Linked DNA regions of Neodiprion lecontei. The protein of the gene in region 1 interacts with the protein of each later gene in a pairwise test. Links are inferred from orthologs where the notes say so. Each region holds a gene or a part of one and is shown in the gene's direction. Other genes may lie near its edges.

The links. The genes of interacting proteins can lie anywhere in the genome.
Region 2: the proteins of protein henna (region 1) and 40S ribosomal protein S10 interact in a two-hybrid assay, tested with the Caenorhabditis elegans proteins (2 studies listed by BioGRID). The link is inferred for Neodiprion lecontei from reciprocal best matches to the Caenorhabditis elegans genes pah-1 and rps-10.

What each region holds. Positions count from the first base shown.
Region 1 is NC_060261.1:7,916,114-7,928,181, forward strand, and holds protein henna, read left to right. Parts: upstream 1-3,837; 5' UTR 3,838-3,881; coding exon 3,882-3,998; intron 3,999-4,108; coding exon 4,109-4,237; intron 4,238-4,329; coding exon 4,330-4,484; intron 4,485-4,619; coding exon 4,620-4,802; intron 4,803-5,268; coding exon 5,269-5,465; intron 5,466-5,968; coding exon 5,969-6,231; intron 6,232-6,417; coding exon 6,418-6,647; intron 6,648-7,133; coding exon 7,134-7,296; 3' UTR 7,297-7,561; downstream 7,562-12,068. UniProt on the Caenorhabditis elegans protein: Catalyzes the hydroxylation of L-phenylalanine to L-tyrosine. Catalyzes the hydroxylation of tryptophan to 5-hydroxy-L-tryptophan. Plays a role in the biosynthesis of a melanin-like cuticle pigment.
Region 2 is NC_060265.1:4,255,301-4,265,385, reverse strand, and holds 40S ribosomal protein S10, read left to right. Parts: upstream 1-4,501; 5' UTR 4,502-4,657; intron 4,658-5,123; 5' UTR 5,124-5,124; coding exon 5,125-5,268; intron 5,269-5,904; coding exon 5,905-6,243; 3' UTR 6,244-6,314; downstream 6,315-10,085. Other genes in the region: probable DNA-directed RNA polymerases I and III subunit RPAC2, read right to left, coding at 7,069-7,249, 7,422-7,522, 8,132-8,149, 8,214-8,219.

The sequences.
Region 1 (12,068 bases):
CTGAATGCATCGCTATCGTGACTTTCTCAACATAATTTCCCAGCTGTTGAGCTCGCGTCAAAAGTTGAAATCGTGATCGAATCGATCTTGCCATCCTTTGTTTTGGCATAAAAAAGCACCCGATAACCTGTGACTACGGAATACAATCGTACGTGCAAAACTAAATCGCAGGTGCGGCAATGGCGGCCATGTTGATTTTTCCCCAGCGTATTCAATTACGGCTCCGTAAATACTTGAAAAGATAGTTTTTTCTCGTGACTAGTTTGAGTCGAGTTTGCAGCCTCGTTTCAACATCGTTTCTATTTTCCCGTCTTATCACGCCGCTCGATTACCATAAAAACACTGGTGGGAATATTTTTTGACTGCTATTCTCTCGCCCAGTTTAACGTGCGACATCGTTTTACCCGCATCAGCAGACCAAACCAGAGACCGCAGACTAAATTTTTCCACTGCTGGGCAACACTTTGGTTGGAACGCTCTGTAAGTCAGGTTTTCGAGGAGTGCCAGTGCAGTTTTCAACCGTAGGGAAATCCGTCGGCATATGTAAAACGAGCCACCCTGTCTCTGGTTTGCATATCTAATGAAGTTCAACTGGATATCGATACCAGTAAGTTTCCGACGCTCGCCGAGCTAAGATCTTTTTTTCGAACACGTATGAATTAGCGAACTGCACGGTTTTAAAATCACGAAAGGTTTGTTAAATCTCCGCGGAACGAGTGAACGACCACCATTGAGGGTGAATGAAGTGAAATCGCGATTCATTGCAAAGTAATGAAGATGATTAATATTCTGTAGAATGTAATACGATCGGATCTACAAGCTCAAGTTTCAATGCAGTTTTCGTTGATTTTATGTGAAAAAGGATATAACATCGGGTGGTGAGTTTTCAAAATCGATTTCTCAGGATGTTTTAACGGGAGCCGTGCCTCGTTAGTAATTCTAATGACTACATCCTATACAAATTTTGATTATATGTTGACAATGTGATGAAATTTAAAACGTATATTAAGACATTCAGATCTCATTTATCATTTTATATCTACTGTCCGAAGATAAATAAAAGTTCAAAATATTTGAATGAGACGCGTATTTTTCTCGTTTTATATTTGAAAATCAATACTTAAATAGAACACTCTGAACTCTGCGTTCTTTGTTCGTATAAAAAAAAAAAGAGCAAGAGGATAAATGAAACGGGGTCGACGGTGTCTTGAGTTAACTTTTAAACAAAGACATGAAAATTAACTTTGTATATTATCTTTTCAGTGTCAAATTTTGACATTTTGATTTTAGAAATTGTGACAACTCCAAACGGCACCGTGAAAAATAACCGTATTTCCTGAGAATTTCAAAGCGATTGTAAGCTTACCACTTGGTGCTTTCTTTAATAAAATATGTGCAACAAATTAGGAAGCATTAGCCTTAGAATAAAAAAAAAAAAAAAAGAAAACTAGGTAATAAATGAAAACTCATCTTCATTTTTCTTTCTGTTTTCAACGTGCGTTCGAAACGCGTGAAGTTTTCGGCAACCTAACGAGGCTCCTTGTAAAAGGCTAACAGAGATCAGCGAAATTTGATCGCAATCATCAGATCTCAAGGATTAATTGATCGGATTCTACTCTCGTTCAGAATTCAAAAATGACGCACTGCTGCAGCGACGAGGAAATGGACAACGTGGTAAATAGCCATGTTACAATGTCTTCCTAATCCATAAGACAAACACACAATTATTAGTAAACAGTAACCGCATGGCGTCTAACGAGCCGTCATATTGTTTTCAAACGTAAGTTTGATTTACGTTTTAATTGCCTCGTGCGTAGTTATAATATCGCTTGTGAAAGGCAGAGTCTATAAATTGACTTTTGAAGAAATATCGTATACCGTTAATACCGTGATACGTTTATGTAAACATAGTTGTGAAATATTTTCGCCCTCTATAAATGACGTGATGAGCCACGGGTCAGTGCCAATATTTATCACAAGTCGGTTAATTAATTGAAATTGATAAAATTTTATCAATTTCAATTAAACTCGCAAGCCACTGAGGTCACAAGGCACGCCTCTAATTCCGCCCGTGCAACATGTGTACGCATGTACGTATATATTATAATACATGTCGATGTACGTGGCTGTAATCAATTTTTAAGTGCAGCTCGATATTGCCAGATAATTCTTGCTCATTGGCATTGAAAATTGTTGTTATACAATATGATGAAATTTCGACCAGTGATACGATGCTTGCAAAAACAATTATCTTCCGGATTTTTTATTTATTTTTATTATTTTTAACCTGTCATTACTAGATTTCAAAGTCATCGACGATGGGAGAAGATAAAAGAAACGAGAGTTATAGGTGCCTTACAAACTGTGATTTGATCGGTAACTCTATTGTTACCGCGTCGCTGTTTAAACTCCGTGTAAAAAGACGGCGAAATGGAAATTTACGCTGCAGTAAATGTTCAATAAATCACAGGCTAGGTATTCAGTCCCGAAATTTCTCTCATCAGTCAGAATGTCAACTATTTCGTTTAGCGCTTTGATCGGAAGACGATGAGTAAGAAAGTCGTTAACACGACGAGTAAGAAAGTCGTTAACACGATGCTGATGACGAGTCTTGCAATATATCAGCAGGTTCAAGTGGAATCCCCCATACAGAGGAAAGTTCGAACCGCACTGATATCCCGGTGACCTTCACGACTCACGGAAATGATCCATTGAACGTTTCCCCGTTACACATCACGCGTGTCATTAACCGTCACTATCCTTGAGCGATATTATGTGATATTGTAACTTCGCAGAAATTCGCTTTCGAAATCCATTTATTTTCTTCCTTTTTCTTTTTCCTACATTTCGTCCGGATTCCAACGAAGAGTTACGTCAGAATTCCGCTTTCGAAAGCTCAGGATAATTGTTTGAAAAAGTCCGTTCACACTCGTCACATTTCTCTGAACAATCTGCACACTTTCGAAACCATCTCAACCTCGAAGTTCAACCTGTAAATTACCAGGTGTCGGTACTTACCTTCCGGTCTGTCGATTTCCGGTAACTTTAGACGTGGTTCTTCGGTGAACCAAGAATGGTTCGTTCCCCACCAGATCTTGCAATATACGTCGGGAAATATACGGCAGGTACCGCGTCACAAGTGTCCGTATAACGTACCTACGCTTACAAAAAGTCTGCGTACTTTTTGCACACCGATAGTTCTCAGTGCGAAGGCTATACAGAAACTTATACATCGATCTGCTGCCTGGCTCAATTTCATTCGCGAATTTCATCAGCCGTCTGCAATGACTCAAGGTCGTGCATTTACTTTTTTCTCTCAAGTTTGCGTTCGGTAACACCTGCAACACCTGGACGTAAATCTTGTTGTCTATTGATCTGGACAAGCATAGATCTCGAACGATTCATCGGTGCGCGTTAAGATTAAAGGTGATGAAAAGGAAAAAAAAAAAAGAAAAATTGCACATCACGAGACAAATATTATTGTAGACTCGTCGGACATCTTACAGTTGTTTTTTTTTTATCGTTTCTCGATAGTATATTTGCTCATTATTAACGCAAACTATTGAGATATCGGATTCGCGGAATGTGGTTGAGTTTGCGCGCAGCGAAAGGCGAGGGAAAAAATTAGCTGGAGAGCAACACGCGAACCGACCACATAAGCCATCACCTGAGGACATAAACGAACGCTGGTAATTTCCAGAAATGACCACCCATTGACGACTCGATTGAATCATGGTATAATGATCGGCGTTGCCTGTTGCTCCAGTCATATCTTGCGCAGTTGAACCACGATTGTTCGTAAACCAATTTTCCGCCTAGTGCCACGTGGTGGGGGCCACTCCACCTTCGGTATATAATAAAACTTGAGACTCTCTTGCCGGATGGATTGTTTCTCACTGCAGGCGCGTGAATGCGTTGAGAGAATCGAGAAGCGAACGCTAACCCGGGTCGATTTATCGTCGAGCATCGAAATGACACCGAATCCAATGGTCCCAGATGTAAGATCAGCTTTGCGACGGTGTTGGAGTTATTTGAAAATACTTGTGTCACCGGATTCGACCATTCGTTAACCCTTGACGACTTTAATTTTTTTTTTTTCATCCAACAGCCGAAACTCATGGACGGTGGAAACTACATCAAGGAAGGCAGAGACTCGGCCAAAAGCACTTGCCTGATATTCTCACCCCGGGAAGACGACGAGGTCGGGAGTCTAGGACGCTACTTGAAACTATTCGCAGTGAGTTTTGTAGACCATTGGTGCAAACGCATCGTTCTCTGGTTTGTCTGCATCGTCAAGTGTAAAATCGTACCCTTTCCCACTGTTTACAGAAGCACAAAGTCAACCTCCTCCACATCGAGTCAAGGAGCTCGGCTCGGACCGTCGACAACTATGAATTCATGGTGGAGTGCGCACCTGGCGGTGACTTGGCTGCCGTTATCGAAACTCTGCGCGACCAGTGCGGATACTTCTCTATAATATCCAGGTCAGGATTTCTGATTTTTTATACCACCTGACGATGAACGCTCCTCGGCGATCGTTCGTTTCTCTTACCGCCAACTTGAGACGAGAGGTGGTTCGGTGGTTTGAAGCTCCGAAAGAACCTTCGATTTTTGTTCAGGAACCACAAGGACAACCTGGGCACCGTTCCGTGGTTCCCCGGCAGGATACGAGACTTGGACAGATTCGCGAACCAGATTCTATCCTACGGTTCTGAACTGGACTCTGATCATCCCGGATTTACAGACACGGTTTACAGAGCGAGGAGGAAGTACTTCGCCGACATCGCCTACCACTACAAACAGTAAGTCTGTGAGAAAATTGGAGTATGGTTGAGTACAGTGGGAAACCGGGCACCAGTAAAGTAACAAGCTATAAAATAGTATCTATTTTTAAAAATTTTCTACGACGCGCCGATTCTAAGAGAACGTACAAGTTGTCAAACGCTACCGTACAGAGTTCCGTCCATTATGTAGAACAATTATTATTGTCTCCCTCCAACCGTCATAATTGGATTTCTCACGTGTTAATTGAACGGCGAATACAAAATCTCGATACGGAACCGCTTAAAAAAATTAAGCGGTAATTTCCATTCGCGAGGTTTAATATTACGTTAAAAAAAATGATTTCACGAAGTGAGAGATCGAAAAAAAATTTAGTTCTGATTTTAAAACGACTGCTCGTCTATGCCGGCATTTCTCGAGCATTCAATGATTCGTCTATTTAACCCTGAAGAGGTACTGACTCGAATTCTTCCGAATGATTCGCAGTGGAGAGCCCATTCCACGGGTCGATTACACTCCCGCAGAAACCGCCACGTGGGGTGTCGTATTCAGGAAACTGACGTCGATGTACCCGAAGTACGCCTGCAGGGAACACAATCACGTGTTTCCGCTGCTTATAGAGAACTGCGGCTACAGGGAGGACAACATTCCGCAGCTTGAGGATATCTCGAATTTCCTAAAAGGTGAACTGAGAAATATTTCATTTGTTACAGTAGCAAGAAAACTTCAGTAAAACAGGTATCGTTAGAAAAACTGTTTGAATATTGTTGGAATTAGGAAAAACGAGGTACGCCTAAGCACTTTGCGCTATCGTCGATCCTTTTTTGGTGATTGCAAGGCAAAATCAGTTTGTTAGGTTTAGTCTACTTTTTTGGTTAAACAAGGCTTTAACGTCAATTTATTCTTGCACGAGCATTAAATTTTCGCAACGGTTGCAAGAAAATATAGCAAGAGTGATCGTAATGAGAAAGAATGGTAACGGATACTAGACTTTCCGGCAACAGCTATAAAACTAATTTTCATTTTCCACCTAGAACTATATTTTTCGATTGTGGTAAAGAATGAAGATAGTTAAGGACCGAGCGGTAACCGGACCAAAAAATTTCTCTCATGCTCATGCGCACCCAATTACCTCCCTCCTCAACATCCCCTGCAACCGTCTCTGACCTTTATCGTCCGCTTCCAGATTGCACGGGGTTCACGCTTCGTCCAGTCGCCGGTCTTCTTTCGTCGCGCGACTTCCTCGCCGGCTTGGCCTTCCGAGTCTTTCACAGCACCCAGTACATCAGGCACAGCAGCAAACCTCTCTACACCCCGGAACCCGACGTTTGCCACGAGGTCCTTGGCCATGTTCCACTTTTCGCAGACCCGGCATTCGCGCAGTTCTCTCAGGTCATCGGGCTCGCCTCCCTCGGAGCTCCGGACGAGTACATCGAGAAGCTCGCCACCGTGAGTGGGGGTCTTTAGCTATTATATGATAAATCAAGCGTTATACGCAAAAATACCGAATTGGAAATGGAATGGAAGTAAGACGAATCGCAAAACCATCGCGCAGTTCTAACCGAATGTCAAAAGCCATCCGTTCCATCAACCGTGTTATACGTTATATGTATATGTATTTACTTTTTTCCCCAGTGCTTTTGGTTCACCGTTGAATTCGGCCTCTGTAGACAAAACGGAGAACTGAAGGCTTACGGTGCCGGGCTTTTGTCGTCCTACGGTGAGCTGGAATACAGCCTGAGCGACAAGCCGGAGCTGAGACCATTCGATCCGGCAAAAACGGCGCTTCAGAAATACCCAATAACCGAATATCAGCCGGTCTACTTCGTCGCCGAGGATTTCGAGGACGCGAAGGAAAAGATGATGTAAGTAACTCTTCCAGTATCCGCGATCCCTGACGACGAGTACCGATGTCTCAATCTGCTTTCTTTTCATTTTTTACTCACCTCGTTCGGTCATGTTTGTTTGCGCTTCGTTATCTTTAGCTTGACGTGGTTCGATCGTGATCGAATTGAAAATAGCTTGGCTGGTATTAAACAAGACGATACGCTTGTTGTTTTTTTTTTTTACCAGTATACACATTATGTCACATGTGATGTTGCAAGATTTCTTGCGAGCACTGATTTAACGCAATACTTTCGAAATAATTGTTACACATTATGAGAAAGTTGCGCAAATTTTCAGAGACGCCAGTGATTCGCGATAGCGTCATCTCGTCTGACTATATTGTAGGTATAGGTTCATGATTCGAGATGGCTGAGCTTGTTTTTTGGTACGAAACGTTCGCCGAGTTCGATGCATGAAATCCGTGTAATTCAAAATTCATTGATTTTTCTCAATTCAATTTACAGAAAATTCGCCCAAACGATTCCGAGGAAATTTGGCGTCAGATACGATCCGTACACGCAAAGTGTTAACATCATCGACAGCAAACACCAAATCGAAGATTTAGTCACGAACGTTAATCAGGAAGTTCAACTTTTGATGGACGCGTTGAAAAAGCTGAAGGATTAAACTTATTGTTTTTAATAATAATTGATATTATTGTTATACCTATGTACATTTTACGATAAGAATTCTTGTTTACATTGCGATGGAACGTTTATTGTGTACACGAATTTGTGAACGCGGTATAAAATTTTCTATTTGTTATATTTAAAGTAATGTCAGTTTTTTTTTTTTTTTTTTTTATTATAAAAGTGAAGACGGAAATACATATGTAGGTAGATTATACATCATGATTGTGTGGTGTGTATGAAAATCTATTTTTTTCTGTCGATATCAAGCATTTTCTTATTATACACAGTTCCGTATATTTTTTTTTTTTTCCAGCATCAAGTATAATCGGTTTAAGAGAAGCAATGAACGGTAACAAAATAACAAGTTGATTCTTTCTTATGACGTCATATATTTTTACGTTTTTTCACAACGAACAATCTATGGCAATATTATCATACTGGTGGATATAAGCGAATTATTTCTAAACGGTGTAGAATTTTGATATTGTAGGGATTCATTGCGGGGAAAAAAATTACGTGTTGCGGTACACTTGCACATTAAAATAAACGGAATCGTCGAAACTTATGACACTATTCCGATTGCTATGAATAATATTTAATTCGCTCTTACAGCGAGTCAAAAATATTACTTTCAAATTGCAACACAATCGCGGTAGAAAAAGATTTCTTCCTTTAACGAATTTCCTTCAATACGAATATTCGTTACACACGCATATATTGCATACATATACATATACACACGCATGTATATATAAATTTATTATTAGGTGCTGGAATTAATTCGTAGGATTTTATAAATTTGTTTTCAAGAAATAAAAAAACGCTACGAATTAATTCCATCACCTAGTAAAATTGTTTATTGATATGCATCATGCACCTTACACTGTTTACCGAAAATTCAAATTTCAGTCACATGGGGCCAAATTTTCGTTTGTTGTTTTTCTAAATCAGATGTCTAATCCAATTTCTCGTAGTATATTGTATATAGAAATTACATTTTAATATTTACTCGTACATTAATGGATTATAAATTACACACACATGTAAATTACGCACACGTATAAAATTCAATTTTCACAACATTCATGTTGTGCGACACGTAAGTATAATATTTATTAATATTTTTAAACCGTGTCCAGCGGCATTTCGGTTTTTCCTATTTATTATCAGGTTTCATTTTGTCGTAGATTTTTTTTTTTTTTTCTTTCACTCAATACATCTTATAATAATATGCCAATGAACAGATGAGATATATATCTAATATTATTCAATAAATCGCAAGGAAGCATACCAGCAGAGATCGTTTCTGCATTTGAGAAAAGCATCCTATAGAACAAAGGAAGACCTCGGTTATTTTCTTCATTATCTAGATACATTCATTGAATTTAAGAATGAATATCATGACAAATTTCTTCACACTGGTATGTTGACAATTTTTGGCACATTTTGAGCGAACAGCATAGGTAAAAAATAATAACCGAAATTCGCGTGGACATTGATCTACAATAATCAAGTCGGAGCGTGACAAGGGAATCGTATGAATAAACTTTTCCCCCGAGTTAAGACAAATTAGTTGACAAAAGAAAGAAGTGGCAGAACGCCGTGAATTAAGGGAGACACTTGATGGAATCACAAGAACTTACCATAATATAAAAGGTGTCTCACGGTTGAGGCACTCTTCATGTGTGTAACTAATTGCAAGATGAAGTTTTTTATCCCGAACCATTTGGATAGAATTTTATACATTGAATGTAATCATTCAAGTAACGTGAGGCCCTTACGAATTGAGAATGAAACGTACCATCATGGGAAAAAACCCCACTTGGGTGTAAATTCGTACCAAAAACTCATAGACAATGCTAATGTCCCATAAGAAAAAAGTTAGGGGTACGAATTTACACCCAATTTGGGTTTTTTTTCCGTGAGGGTAGAATACGCTTGCTTCTGAAATATGTTTCGTAACATTTTTAATTGCCAATTTGAATTTGTTCCAACGATTCGTTTGTATTTCAAGTGCTAGGTTACTATTTACGCATATAAAATATATACGTATATGGGGTATTCCACGTCAAGTCGAACGGTCGGTTTCCCCGACCCACTTTAACCTGATTGCCCTTTCACACAGTAAAACTGCATATCGAAAGGATGATCTTTGAATTTTTTCAACCCATGAATTCTTTACGACAACTCATCCAACAAATTGATTTCAACAATGTCTGGAATTCTCGTAGCTAAAAACTTGGACGACATATGAAAAAGTTCCTTCCCAAAAATTTTCGGTTCTCTCACGAACCGCTCGAGAGTATTTTTTCCGTATTTTTCATACCCCGTTTCATTGTAGTTTTGATACAAAATGCGCGCAAATTATTCGTAACTGAAAATTGCCCTAATCGAATGGGCTACAATTTATACACGGCGTGCTTTTTTTAATGCGAAAGGTTGTCTGAAAACTTGATAATGGGCGTTGTAGTGGTTCAGAAGACATATCAACAAATATTCACACAGTGGCGAGAATTCGATTCAAACTTCGCGGCGCGGCAAGCAATCTGCTCACCCTGCGCGTTGCGCCGCTGCGCACTCGAGCGCGATCGTCAGTTGTTACGCCTGTTGTTTATAATCTCGATTGTCGACTTTTTCTCGAGGAGTATGGTTCAGTCAATCATTTATCACGATTTCCGTCATGATACGCGAGTTCCGTACGCCGGACAATATTATCGAAGCATATTCATCCAAGGTAAGAATTCAACGGCGTGTTGCGAATCGTAATACCGACTGTATAACTTTCACCGTTCGTATCGCCACATAGTACGTATGAACGAGAAATTTCCAAGTTGCATGTAAACCATTGCCTTGTAACTTTTGAACTACTTTACCACCCACTACGAAACTTATAGACAATCTTTGGTATTGGAGAAGACATGCCGTGTAAAAATTTCAGCCAATTCGATTCCGGCACTATTTTGTTGCCAAAGATTTACCAAGATTTTCTCACGAAAACTATACTTTAACGGGGCACGAAAAATCGGACAAAATTATTTTTACAAATTTCATACAGAGATGCGAAACTTTTGTATAGGAACTTTTTCCATATGTTATCTGAATTTCAAGCTACGGTAACTTGAAGAAATGAAATATCGTCGAAAGCCGGTTTTTCGACTAGCTGTGGTAAAAAAATGCTTGGTCAGGAAAGTCTGAAAAAATTCAGATTTGATGAATTAAATACGAACTTCAGGCGAGTAAAAGGGCGAAAACATCCGAAGTCGTCAAGTCGAAGGAATCTCGTTTTTTCGTACGATTTAACGTGGAATCCCCCATATACCTTTGTGGTACACGCAATATCAGGAAAAAGTAGCCCTTGAAATTTCGAACATACCGCTTATGCATAATACAATAATACATGTCAACATTTTATCACCACTCACTGTGCTACCCCATATTGATTTATCACATGTATACAATACGCAGATACATTGTACATAAATTACACAATGATTATGGTTGGAAAAAGAGAGAAAAACAAAAAAAAAAACAAAAACCAGTCAAATAGTCACGAAAATTTCAGAACTATGCTGTAATATTTCTTTTTTTTTTTTTTTTATTATAAACAATGTTAGTTCTCATTTCTAAATTCATTAAAATTACCTTATGAACGATGAATTGTATGTATTTATACGTACGTATTTACTAATCAAAGCTCGAATGTTTTTCGCCGTACACGCGGTATAATATATGATTATGTTATTATTTTACTTAATCTTTTTTAAACGATAATCGTTACTTTTTACTTTTATTCCGCCTTGTTATTCTTCAATTTTCGGGGGCGGTGTCAAGGTTCCGAATTTGAAAAGTTCCGAAGGCGCAGAATTCCGAATTTTTTCGTGACGAAACTTAAAGTAAGGAAACAAGATTGCGAAAAGTAAAGTTCCGATAGAGCAAAGTTCCGAAAAGTAAAGTTACGATAGAGCAAAATTCCGAAAAGCAAAAATTCCAATAGAGCAAAAAACTTGAAACAAAGTTTACTGAAAATTTTATGGACTACAAATTTGGTTCACACCATTTTTAATGTTTCATTAACCATTACCTATATGTTTAGCAATAACCATGTTAAAGAAAGTTTGACGCGCTATAAATAAAAACCTACGCATTATACAGAAAAAAGTTTCTAGTAAAAGTTATACGAAATTTTATCATACACAAAATCTGTTGTTACTACATTTTTGTAGGGTGCGGGTAAAAAATCAGAAATACCAAAAATAAGAATGGTCTGCATGAAAACAGTCTCACGATGGCTCATTTTACTCCTTATTCTTTTCGCACTTTCGGAATTTTGTCTTTTCGGTATTTTGTCCTTTCGGAACTTTGCACTTACGGAACTTTGAGCGTCGGATTTTCGACCATGCGAAAGTTTGATGTTTCGTCAAAGTTTTGTTTCTTTACTTTAATTTTCGCCACGAAAACATTCGGGATTCTGCGCTTTAGGAACTTTTCGAATTCGAAACTTTGACACCGCCCCAATTTTCGATACAGTGAGTCACTTGAGCCACCCTATAACTGCACTATCAAGGGCAATCGTATTACTCAAAGCGCATTTTATTGCCCATAGATGTAAGAACGAAGTTGACCAAAGTTCAAGCCGAGACCTGTTTATACCATGCCATACGGTGGATGCGCCGTTTTCGGTCAATTTAGCAATTAACGTCTGTGGCCATCAATTGATCCGTTCATAGCCACATTCTTCACACACAAATAAGGGGTCGTGGTCACGAA
Region 2 (10,085 bases), on another chromosome or scaffold:
AATAATCTTATACAATTTATTATATTATTAATTAATTAATTAATATTCCTATAATATTTAATGGCAATTGTAATTATATTTTATCTGAAATATTACAAACTTGTCACGTTTACAATAAATTACTTCAATTCATCTTTCGTGCAAGCACATATTCAGTAGCTATGAATAATCTTATACAATGTATTATATTATTAATTAATTAATTAATATTCCTATAATATTTAATGGCAATTGTAATTATATTTCATCTGAAATATTACAAACTTGTCACGTTTACAATAAATTATTTCAATTCATTTTTCGTGCAAGCACATATTCAGTGGCTATGAATAATCTTGTACAATTTATTATATTATTAAATAATTCATTAATTACATTAATCCTTACACAATATTTTTGATGTGTTCCTATACTAAAAATATTCATTACTATTCCAGGTATTACCCGAGGTGGTCGGAGGTGGACGTGGAGGAGGACGAGCTGGACGAGGAGGAGGACCAGGTGGACGAGGAGGAGGCGGGGTGGGTCGTGGGAGAGGACCTCTCCTCTCCTCAGAGGAGGGGCGGTGGAGGGGCAGGGAAGGGGAAGAGGTGGGCGGGGAGGGGGAAGGGAAGGGAAGGGAAGGGAAGGGAAGGGAAGGGAAGGGGAGGGGAGGGGAGGGGAGGGGAGGGGAGGGCCGGGGGGAGGGGAGGGCCGGGGTGGGGGGGAGGGTGGGCGGGCGGGAGGGAGGGCGGGAGGGCGGGAGGGCGGGAGGGAGGGCGGGAGGGCGCGGGGGGGGGGGGGGGGGGGGGGGGGTGTACTGCTCTATTAACTCTAATGGGCTCGCATCGACATCCGTCCTCCTCTCCCCCCACCCTCCCTCCCTCCCGCCCGCCCTCCCTCCCTCCCGCCCTCCCTCCCTCCCTCCCTCCCGCCCTCCACCCCCCCCTCCCCTTCCCCTCCCCCCGGCCCACCCCTCCTCTTCCCGTCCCGTCCCTTCCCTTCCCTTCCCTTCCCTTCCCCCTCCCCGCCCACCTCTCCCCCTTCCCTGCCCCTCCCCCTCTCCTCCTCTGAGGAGAGGAGAGGTCCTCTCCCACGACCCACCCCGCCTCCTCCTCGTCCACCTGGTCCTCCTCCTCCTCGGCCACCTGGTCCTCCTCCTCGTCCAGCTCGTCCTCCTCCTCGTCCACCTCCGACCACCTCGGGTAATACCTGGAATAGTAATGAATATTTTTAGTATAGGAACACATCAAAAATATTGTGTAAGGATTAATGTAATTAATGAATTAATTAATAATATAATAGATTGTACAAGATTATTCATAGCCACTGAATATGTGCTTGCACGAAAAATGAATTGAAATAATTTATTGTAAACGTGACAAGTTTGTAATATTTCAGATGAAATATAATTACAATTGCCATTAAATATTATAGGAATATTAATTAATTAATTAATAATATAATAAATTGTATAAGATTATTCATAGCTACTGAATATGTGCTTGCACGAAAGATGAATTGAAGTAATTTATTGTAAACGTGACAAGTTTGTAATATTTCAGATGAAATATAATTACAATTGCCATTAAATATTATAGGAATATTAATTAATTAATTAATAATATAATAAATTGTATAAGATTATTCATAGCTACTGAATATGTGCTTGCACGAAAGATGAATTGAAATAATTTATTGTAAATGTGACAAGTTTGTAATATTTCAGATGAAATATAATTACAATTGCCATGAAATATTATAAAAGTGTTTTACTCACCCAGCACAAATCCTCGTCCTCCTCGTCCTTTTCCTCATCCACCTCAGACCACCTTCAACCACCTCGAACAACCACCGATAACCACCTCAGGTTATACCTTGAATAGGACTGACAGCTACCGAATTTGGGGTTGCGCGAAAAACGAATTGAAATAATTTATTGTAAACGTGAACCAGGAACCACGGAGCGCTTATCCTGGAAGTCGAGAAATTTTATTAGCGGACCGACAGCTACCGAATTTGGGGTTGCGCGAAAAACGAATTGAAATAATTTATTGTAAACGTGAACCAGGAACCACGGAGCGCTTATCCTGGAAGTCGAGAAATTTTATTAGCGGACTGACAGCTACCGAATTTGGGGTTGCGCGAAAAACGAATTGAAATAATTTATTGTAAATGTGAACCAGGAACCACGGAGCGCTTATCCTGGAAGTCGAGAAATTTTATTACCGGACTGACAGCTACCGAATTTGGGGTTGCGCGAAAAACGAATTGAAATAATTTATTGTAAACGTGAACCAGGAACCACGGAGCGCTTATCCTGGAAGTCGAGAAATTTTATTACCGGACTGACAGCTACCGAATTTGGGGTTGCGCGAAAAACGAATTGAAATAATTTATTGTAAACGTGAACCAGGAACCACGGAGCGCTTATCCTGGAAGTCGAGAAATTTTATTAGCGGACTGACAGCTACCGAATTTGGGTTTGCGCGAAAAACGAATTGAAATAATTTATTGTAGACGTGAACCAGGAACCACGGAGCGCTTATCCTGGAAGTCGAGAAATTTTATTAGCGGACTGAGAGCTACCGAATTTGGGGTTGCGCGAAAAACGAATTGAAATAATTTATTGTAAACGTGAACCAGGAACCACGGAGCGCTTATCCTGGAAGTCGAGAAATTTTATTAGCGGACTGACAGCTACCGAATTTGGGGTTGCGCGAAAAACGAATTGAAATAATTTATTGTAAACGTGAACCAGGAACCACGGAGCGCTTATCCTGGAAGTCGAGAAATTTTATTAGCGGACTGACAGCTACCGAATTTGGGGTTGCGCGAAAAACGAATTGAAATAATTTATTGTAAACGTGAACCAGGAACCACGGAGCGCTTATCCTGGAAGTCGAGAAATTTTATTAGCGGACTGAGAGCTACCGAATTTGGGGTTGCGCGAAAAACGAATTGAAATAATTTATTGTAAACGTGAACCAGGAACCACGGAGCGCTTATCCTGGAAGTCGAGAAATTTTATTAGCGGACTGACAGCTACCAAATTTGGGGTTGCGCGAAAAACGAATTGAAATAATTTATTGTAAACGTGAACCAGGAACCACGGAGCGCTTATCCTGGAAGTTGAGAAATTTTATTAGCGGACTGACAGCTACCGAATTTGGGTTTGCGCGAAAAACGAATTGAAATAATTTATTGTAAACGTGAACCAGGAACCACGGAGCGCTTATCCTGGAAGTCGAGAAATTTTATTAGCGGACTGACAGCTACCGAATTTGGGGTTGCGCGAAAAACGAATTGAAATAATTTATTGTAAACGTGAACCAGGAACCACGGAGCGCTTATCCTGGAAGTCGAGAAATTTTATTAGCGGACTGACAGCTACCGAATTTGGGGTTGCGCGAAAAACGAATTGAAATAATTTATTGTAAACGTGAACCAGGAACCACGGAGCGCTTATCCTGGAAGTCGAGAAATTTTATTAGCGGACTGACAGCTACCGAATTTGGGGTTGCGCGAAAAACGAATTGAAATAATTTATTGTAAACGTGAACCAGGAACCACGGAGCGCTTATCCTGGAAGTCGAGAAATTTTATTAGCGGACTGACAGCTACCGAATTTGGGGTTGCGCGAAAAACGAATTGAAATAATTTATTGTAAACGTGAACCAGGAACCACGGAGCGCTTATCCTGGAAGTCGAGAAATTTTATTAGCGGACTGACAGCTACTGAATATGGGCTTGCGCGAAAAACGAATTGAAATAATTTATTGTAAACGTGAATCAGGAACCACGGAGCGCTTATCCTGGAAGTCGAGTTTCACCGCGTAGCGGACCCGAAGCGCGGGATCCGGGAGGTTGAGAACCCGGTACTCGAAATACGTAGCGGACCCGAAGCGCGGGATCCGTGAGGTTGAGAACCCGGTACTCGAAATTTGCGGAGCGCGACTCTCATGCGTCCGCTCTACTGCGCGGTTGTTTCCCGACTGAGGAATTCGGCTAGCTGATTTTGAATTGGTGACGTCACTTTCTGAACGTCCGACATCCAAACTATGGTTTCGAACTTTGATACTGTGTATGATGATGTATGATGTACGATGTATGATGTATGATGTATGATGATATGATATGATGTATAATGACTTTAGCTTTCACATTTCATACAAGAAATACACAATTTATCTCTCCTGCCGATTCCAGACTCAACCGGCCAGGCCCTTCGATGGTCAGCCGTTGACTGAAGATATATCCTTCAGTTAACGGGTCGGCTAATAACGCTGCCGTTCTGCGACAGTTGAATGATGAACAAAGTAGTAATAACAGTTATCATAGGCAGGGTAAATGCATTGCATCACGAATATAGCCTTTTCATTACCCATCATCAACGCCATCATTGTGTGGCATATTTGAATTATGCGCAGCTAGATATTATTCTACACGATCTAATGACGTTACTACGGCGAGCCAGTGGCGAACCCGCGGACCATGGAGACTAGACAGAGAGAAGGTTTCTCTTTGGACTAGAGCCGCGGACGTAACACTTTCGATATCACAGCGCTGCATGTGGCAGAAATCCGAACTCTCGATATAGCGAGCGATGATTCACGGTAAAGAACGCGCGAATGGTGGCCTTCTTTTTCCGGTGACAAGTCCGACACGAAGTACCGAAGTACGTCTGATTTTCTAACAAATCCACAGATATCTCGTGCATCCGCAATATTTAACGTGCAATCATAGTCTTAATATATTATTAGTTTACCCACGAGCCATAAAAACCTCGTAGTCGTAATTTCACGCAGTCAGATGCGATATAATTTACGTGAATCTAGTGTTGTGAGCTGTGTTGAAGAATGTCCATGTCGGATGTATCTTGTATTCGCCACGCAATTGTCGCGTGGATATTCAAATTTAATTCGTCCAATTGAATCTCATATGGCTCGAGAAAAATGTGTTATCTTGTTATTTTGACAGAAAAAATTTCAAACTTGACGCATATAATCATCAAGCGAATTCTTGTTTTAAACCCAATTGATCGTGACATGTTGCAACTTGGCTTAACCTAACCCAATACAACCTAACCTAGAGCTGCAATAAATTATGATATTGAAATAGATACTCTTTTCGATGATTTACAGAATGTTGATGCCCAAGAAAAATCGTGTCGCCATTTACGAGTACCTCTTCAAGGAGGGAGTAATGGTGGCTAAAAAGGATTATCACGCACCCAAGCATCCCGAACTTGAGACCATACCCAATTTGCAGGTTATCAAAGCTATGCAGGTAATGGAAGTAAACGTCACGAAATTTCGCTGGCCCCTTGTCAATTATTCTGCTGGCGGACAGTGTTGATCCACACAACCAATTGGCAGATTCACTGTGTAGTGCGAATACAAACGTCAAGATAAAATAAGTTGACTATTTGACGACATGAGAAGTAGCGTGATTTATCAAAAATGTATTATCATTAAATGGTATATCAGTTGAGTCATATTTTTTGGTTGGAATACCTGTAAGAGTGAGAATTCCCGAAACCAGGTAGCATACGTACTCTCGGAGTGTACCTGCTCTGAAAAACAAAACATTTGATTTTGATAGTTCCATTGTTTACAGAAATATCATTGTAAAGCTGTGCATCATTAACTTGCTCTATAACATACCACGTACACTGGCATGCATTTGTGTTTTCAAGTCTCTTGCTAATTTGCTGAAAATTACTCATATTTTTTTAACTGGTAAAAAAAAATTAGGAAATTGCTACATTTAGCATATCTAAAGTGTGGCATGTAGCGACATGGGAAGACGCAGAGACGTGTGAAAAAATGCTCTTTATTATTATGACTTCATACAAAATAACTTTTTTAGAATACCAATGCTTATGTCATTATACCATTATGTATCGTATGATTATGATTTCAGTCCTTGAAGTCACGAGGTTTTGTCAACGAGCAGTTTGCTTGGAGACACTTCTACTGGTACCTGACGAACGAGGGCATCGAATACCTGCGAGCCTATCTCCATCTCCCTCCAGAAATTGTTCCTGCGACATTGAAGAGGCAAGTCAGACCTGAAACCGCGAGGCCTAGGCCCGCTGCTGGCCCTAGGAGCGAAGGTTCGCGTCCAGCCGAAGACCGTGCCGGTTATCGCCGAGGTCCTGGCGGACCGCCAGCACCTGGTGATAAAAAGGCTGATGTTGGCGCTGGCACTGGTGATCTCGAATTCCGGGGAGGATTTGGGCGCGGAAAAGCTCCACAATAAATAAGCTTCGTTTATTACATAAAATGCTACAAAATCTGTATAACCGTGAATAAAGTATTACTCGGTGCATACCCATTTCTTTAGTTTTCCCTGTGTTTATTCAAAACAGTCGTACCAGTGGCTATTATTTTTTATCTTTTGACAGAATTTTTATAGTAGGAAGTAACTGTGATTAGTGCAGAGGTTTCATATTTTTCAAGAGAGTGAGTATATTTTGACTTGATGAAATCATGCATTATCATTTTACAATGAGTGACTTTTACACTGTTAGTATATGACAAAAATCTAGTGTTTCAATTTCCTGATCTTGTTGCATTATTTGTCTACGAATTTTAAAAATAACAATTGCGCTCCGCCGATAATTTTTGATTAGTGTTCAAGTTACTACAGAAGTTTGCGCTGTTATAAACTGATTTTAGGTGACTATATATCAAATAAAACTGCTAAAAGAAATCTTTCAGAGGGTTCTATTATCACAATGCGTATAGATCAGTCTATGTGGGAAATCCCGATTTTCGTTTCTAGTGAAATCACAAACTTGCGTTACGGCAGGCTGAGACAGATGTACGGGGTACGTTATTTAAATAGCGCCGAATATTTTTAATTCTATTGTTTATTCAAAGATATAAAATACAAGATTCACGTTCTGTAGTTAATCTGAGTTTCTTTTCTGTTGTTGTGCCAATCTATTCTAAGTAAAGACACAAAATTGATTTGAAACTGACGACAAATCAGGTTCACTTCTCCAAGTCATAAGAGAGGATTCATAATACAAACATCCCTTGTATCTCACAATTGTCTCCAAACAAGTCACTCATGTGAATTTTAACGGGAGGCCTGCCATGCGGTTTCAAAAGCTTTGGCAGTATGTTCGCAGGCTTTCTCCAGATCTTCTAAACCCTTCCTCAATATATCAACGGCACGACCAGACTTTGCCTGTATCCTGAAGTGCATCTTAGTCTCTGCAGGATGGGGCACCGTATAACCACAGAATTGAACATCTGGACTACAAATGGATTAGAATACGTTGTAATTAAATCGTTTTGGACTCGATATTCATAATAAACATTCATGAATACAGAGATGTATAAAGGGTAAATTAGGACAAGAAATTGAAATAATATCAATACTGAAAAAAGTGAAACAAAGAATAAAACTAGCGACGGAAAAATTTTTACTATTGAGCAATAATTGATCGAAGAGCATTTCCCAAAGTATGACCCTCGTCCTGGAATACAAAAGTTCGTGATTTTTCTCCAGACTCCCCATCTCCGGCAAGCTGCAAGTAGAAAATATTAAACTATTAACGATATTGTTCCCCAACACAATGGTTATGGAAAATAACACTGGTTCTACTCGTATGTAAGAGTAACTACAAAAGAGTATCACTCTTCACACGAAATCTAACAATCTATGAACTGTCTACGCGGGCAGTCTTCTTTTGACCACATGTGTGTGTACTCACTTCTGGTAACTATCTGCTCGACAAGTGCAATACGAGTTTATTCCATGCAACGCTTTATCACATCGTACTCGAATTAATCGTGAATTTATTTTTATCGTGCCTATTCCCAGGGCACTGACTTGATTTGCATGCAATTCGTAAGATCGTAAGCGAATCACGCAGTTACGCGAGAAATGTTAGAACAAGTTCGCCCTGCATTCTAGCCTGCAGGTTTTATTAACTTTCGGAGAGAAAACTTCCACGAAAATCGACCAATTTAAATAAATGCTTACTGAACGCTTTTCATGCCCAGCAGCGCTAAGAAGCGTTATATACAGAAATATGTTCAAGGAATAGAATCACTTTACAGTTTCAGTGACGTTGAAGGTCGCTATGTAAATCCAGCAATCGGTAAACTGTTTTAGAAAATGCTATTCATATTACCTCTGCTAAACGTCCCATCTGAAAACAGATTACGAGGTTAATCTTTCAATGATTCTTGTGAGGAAATATGTCACTAATCTACCTTCATTCAATAGGAAATAAATGTAAACGCGATTATAAAAATTTTCTCTTTTGCATTTTATAGGTTACCAGCACCGTTGTCTTGCGCTTCTTATAGGTATACCCGTTGACAGTTGACGCGTGAACGTTGCTGCTGCTACATGATTGCGATGCTATGTTCAGGATAGTCACATTCAAATAATTCTGCCGGAACGTTCGAACGCGTTCGGCACATGCTTGCGTTTCGAAATTCGAAAAATACTGAACAAACAATCAATCCTTATTGCCAAATACGTAACTTTTTCAAAAAAAAATTTAACACGGAGAATAAAGAAGTAGGATGGAAATGAAAAATCATGTTTAAATAATTAATTACATGAAATGAAAAAACGTGTAAATTAAAGAGTTCGCTGTCCTCAGACATCTGACGAAATCTATTTGATCAGAGGATTTATATCTTGCAATACATTTGAAAATTTTTCGTCCACGGCGCAACGGATAATTTTTACCACCGAATGCCCTATTTAGACTATACGCTGTATATCTCGTCAGGTCTTTGTCCTTTGCAGTCTGATAATTGCTAGTTCGAAAGCCAGCTTTTAAGTTAGCGAGCAATCATCAAAATTGCAGGCAACTGTGATTCATCTTTGAAACTACTGAAATTTTACAATACGTTTAGGATAAGGATTTGTTCTACGCAAATTCAAATGCCCATGAAATATATATTATATTTATTTTACCAACATTATAGCATAAATGTATGTTCGACGAGATAGGCGTTAGTCAAAAGTACAGTACTCATCATTGAATACGGTGAGCATTGTTGTTTGGTGATATACAAGGACCAGCAATTCCCATGTTACGCAGTAGTTTCAGAATCGTTTGTTCGACATTGGCTGGTTATATAAATAAACCCATTTTTCGCTCGATGTCATATCTGCGCGATGAGCTTTATTCAATTTCTTGTGAAGTCTATACTTTTGAAAAACACTGACTGATCGGAATTGAAAGCACTCTGCACATTTCTACGCACTATCATAAAATATAGCACATTGTTATATTGCTTTTTCTGATGCTATTTTTTTTTTTTTATCGAAATGCAGTATAAACTCCCCGCATTCGTAACTGACTCGCACCTATTTGCTCCTTTTCAATCCCCATATTTTCGGTCATCGATATCAATTAAAATTATTTCAAATGTTTGTACGATTATACTCGTTTCTCAGACATCAATAGATATCATATTTATGTGGTTCATGTAGAAGAAATCCACAAAATCTGTCCACAAAATTTAACTTTTTAGAGTTTAAAAGAAAACATTTCAAAATCATTTTTTCATCAAACGTAGGTTGTATAAACAACTTGAAAACATGTAATTAAATGACAAAATTTACCACATTGGACTGTTTTTAATATTTTCTTTCTGGACACAATTCGACTGACGACAAAACGAGTGGCTGTATGAATAATCTTGATCGTAATTCGTACTATTTTTACTCTGACCAATTATTGTTTTTTTGAAAGAGTCAATGGTATTTGCTTATGTTGATTGCCCAGGCAAAATAGTTCAATAGGCGTGAGTAAATTAATTGTCTTCGTTATTAAGGAAAAATGATTTTTCTCGGTATTAATTCAATGTTGAAAAATATTAAATGATCACAAACAGGAAATAACAGACTTGTATGTAGCCATAACTGTATTTATAGACTTGTACGCATTAACAAAGAATGACTGCATTTAAGTAGGAATTTATACTTTAAACAATCTGACATAAACTGAATGTAGATAACACTCTAAAGCATGTATTCAAAGTTGTTAACATGTATGTATAGAATATACATATAAATCACATCAGAATATTGATTACATATTTTTACAATTTCCCCAAAACATA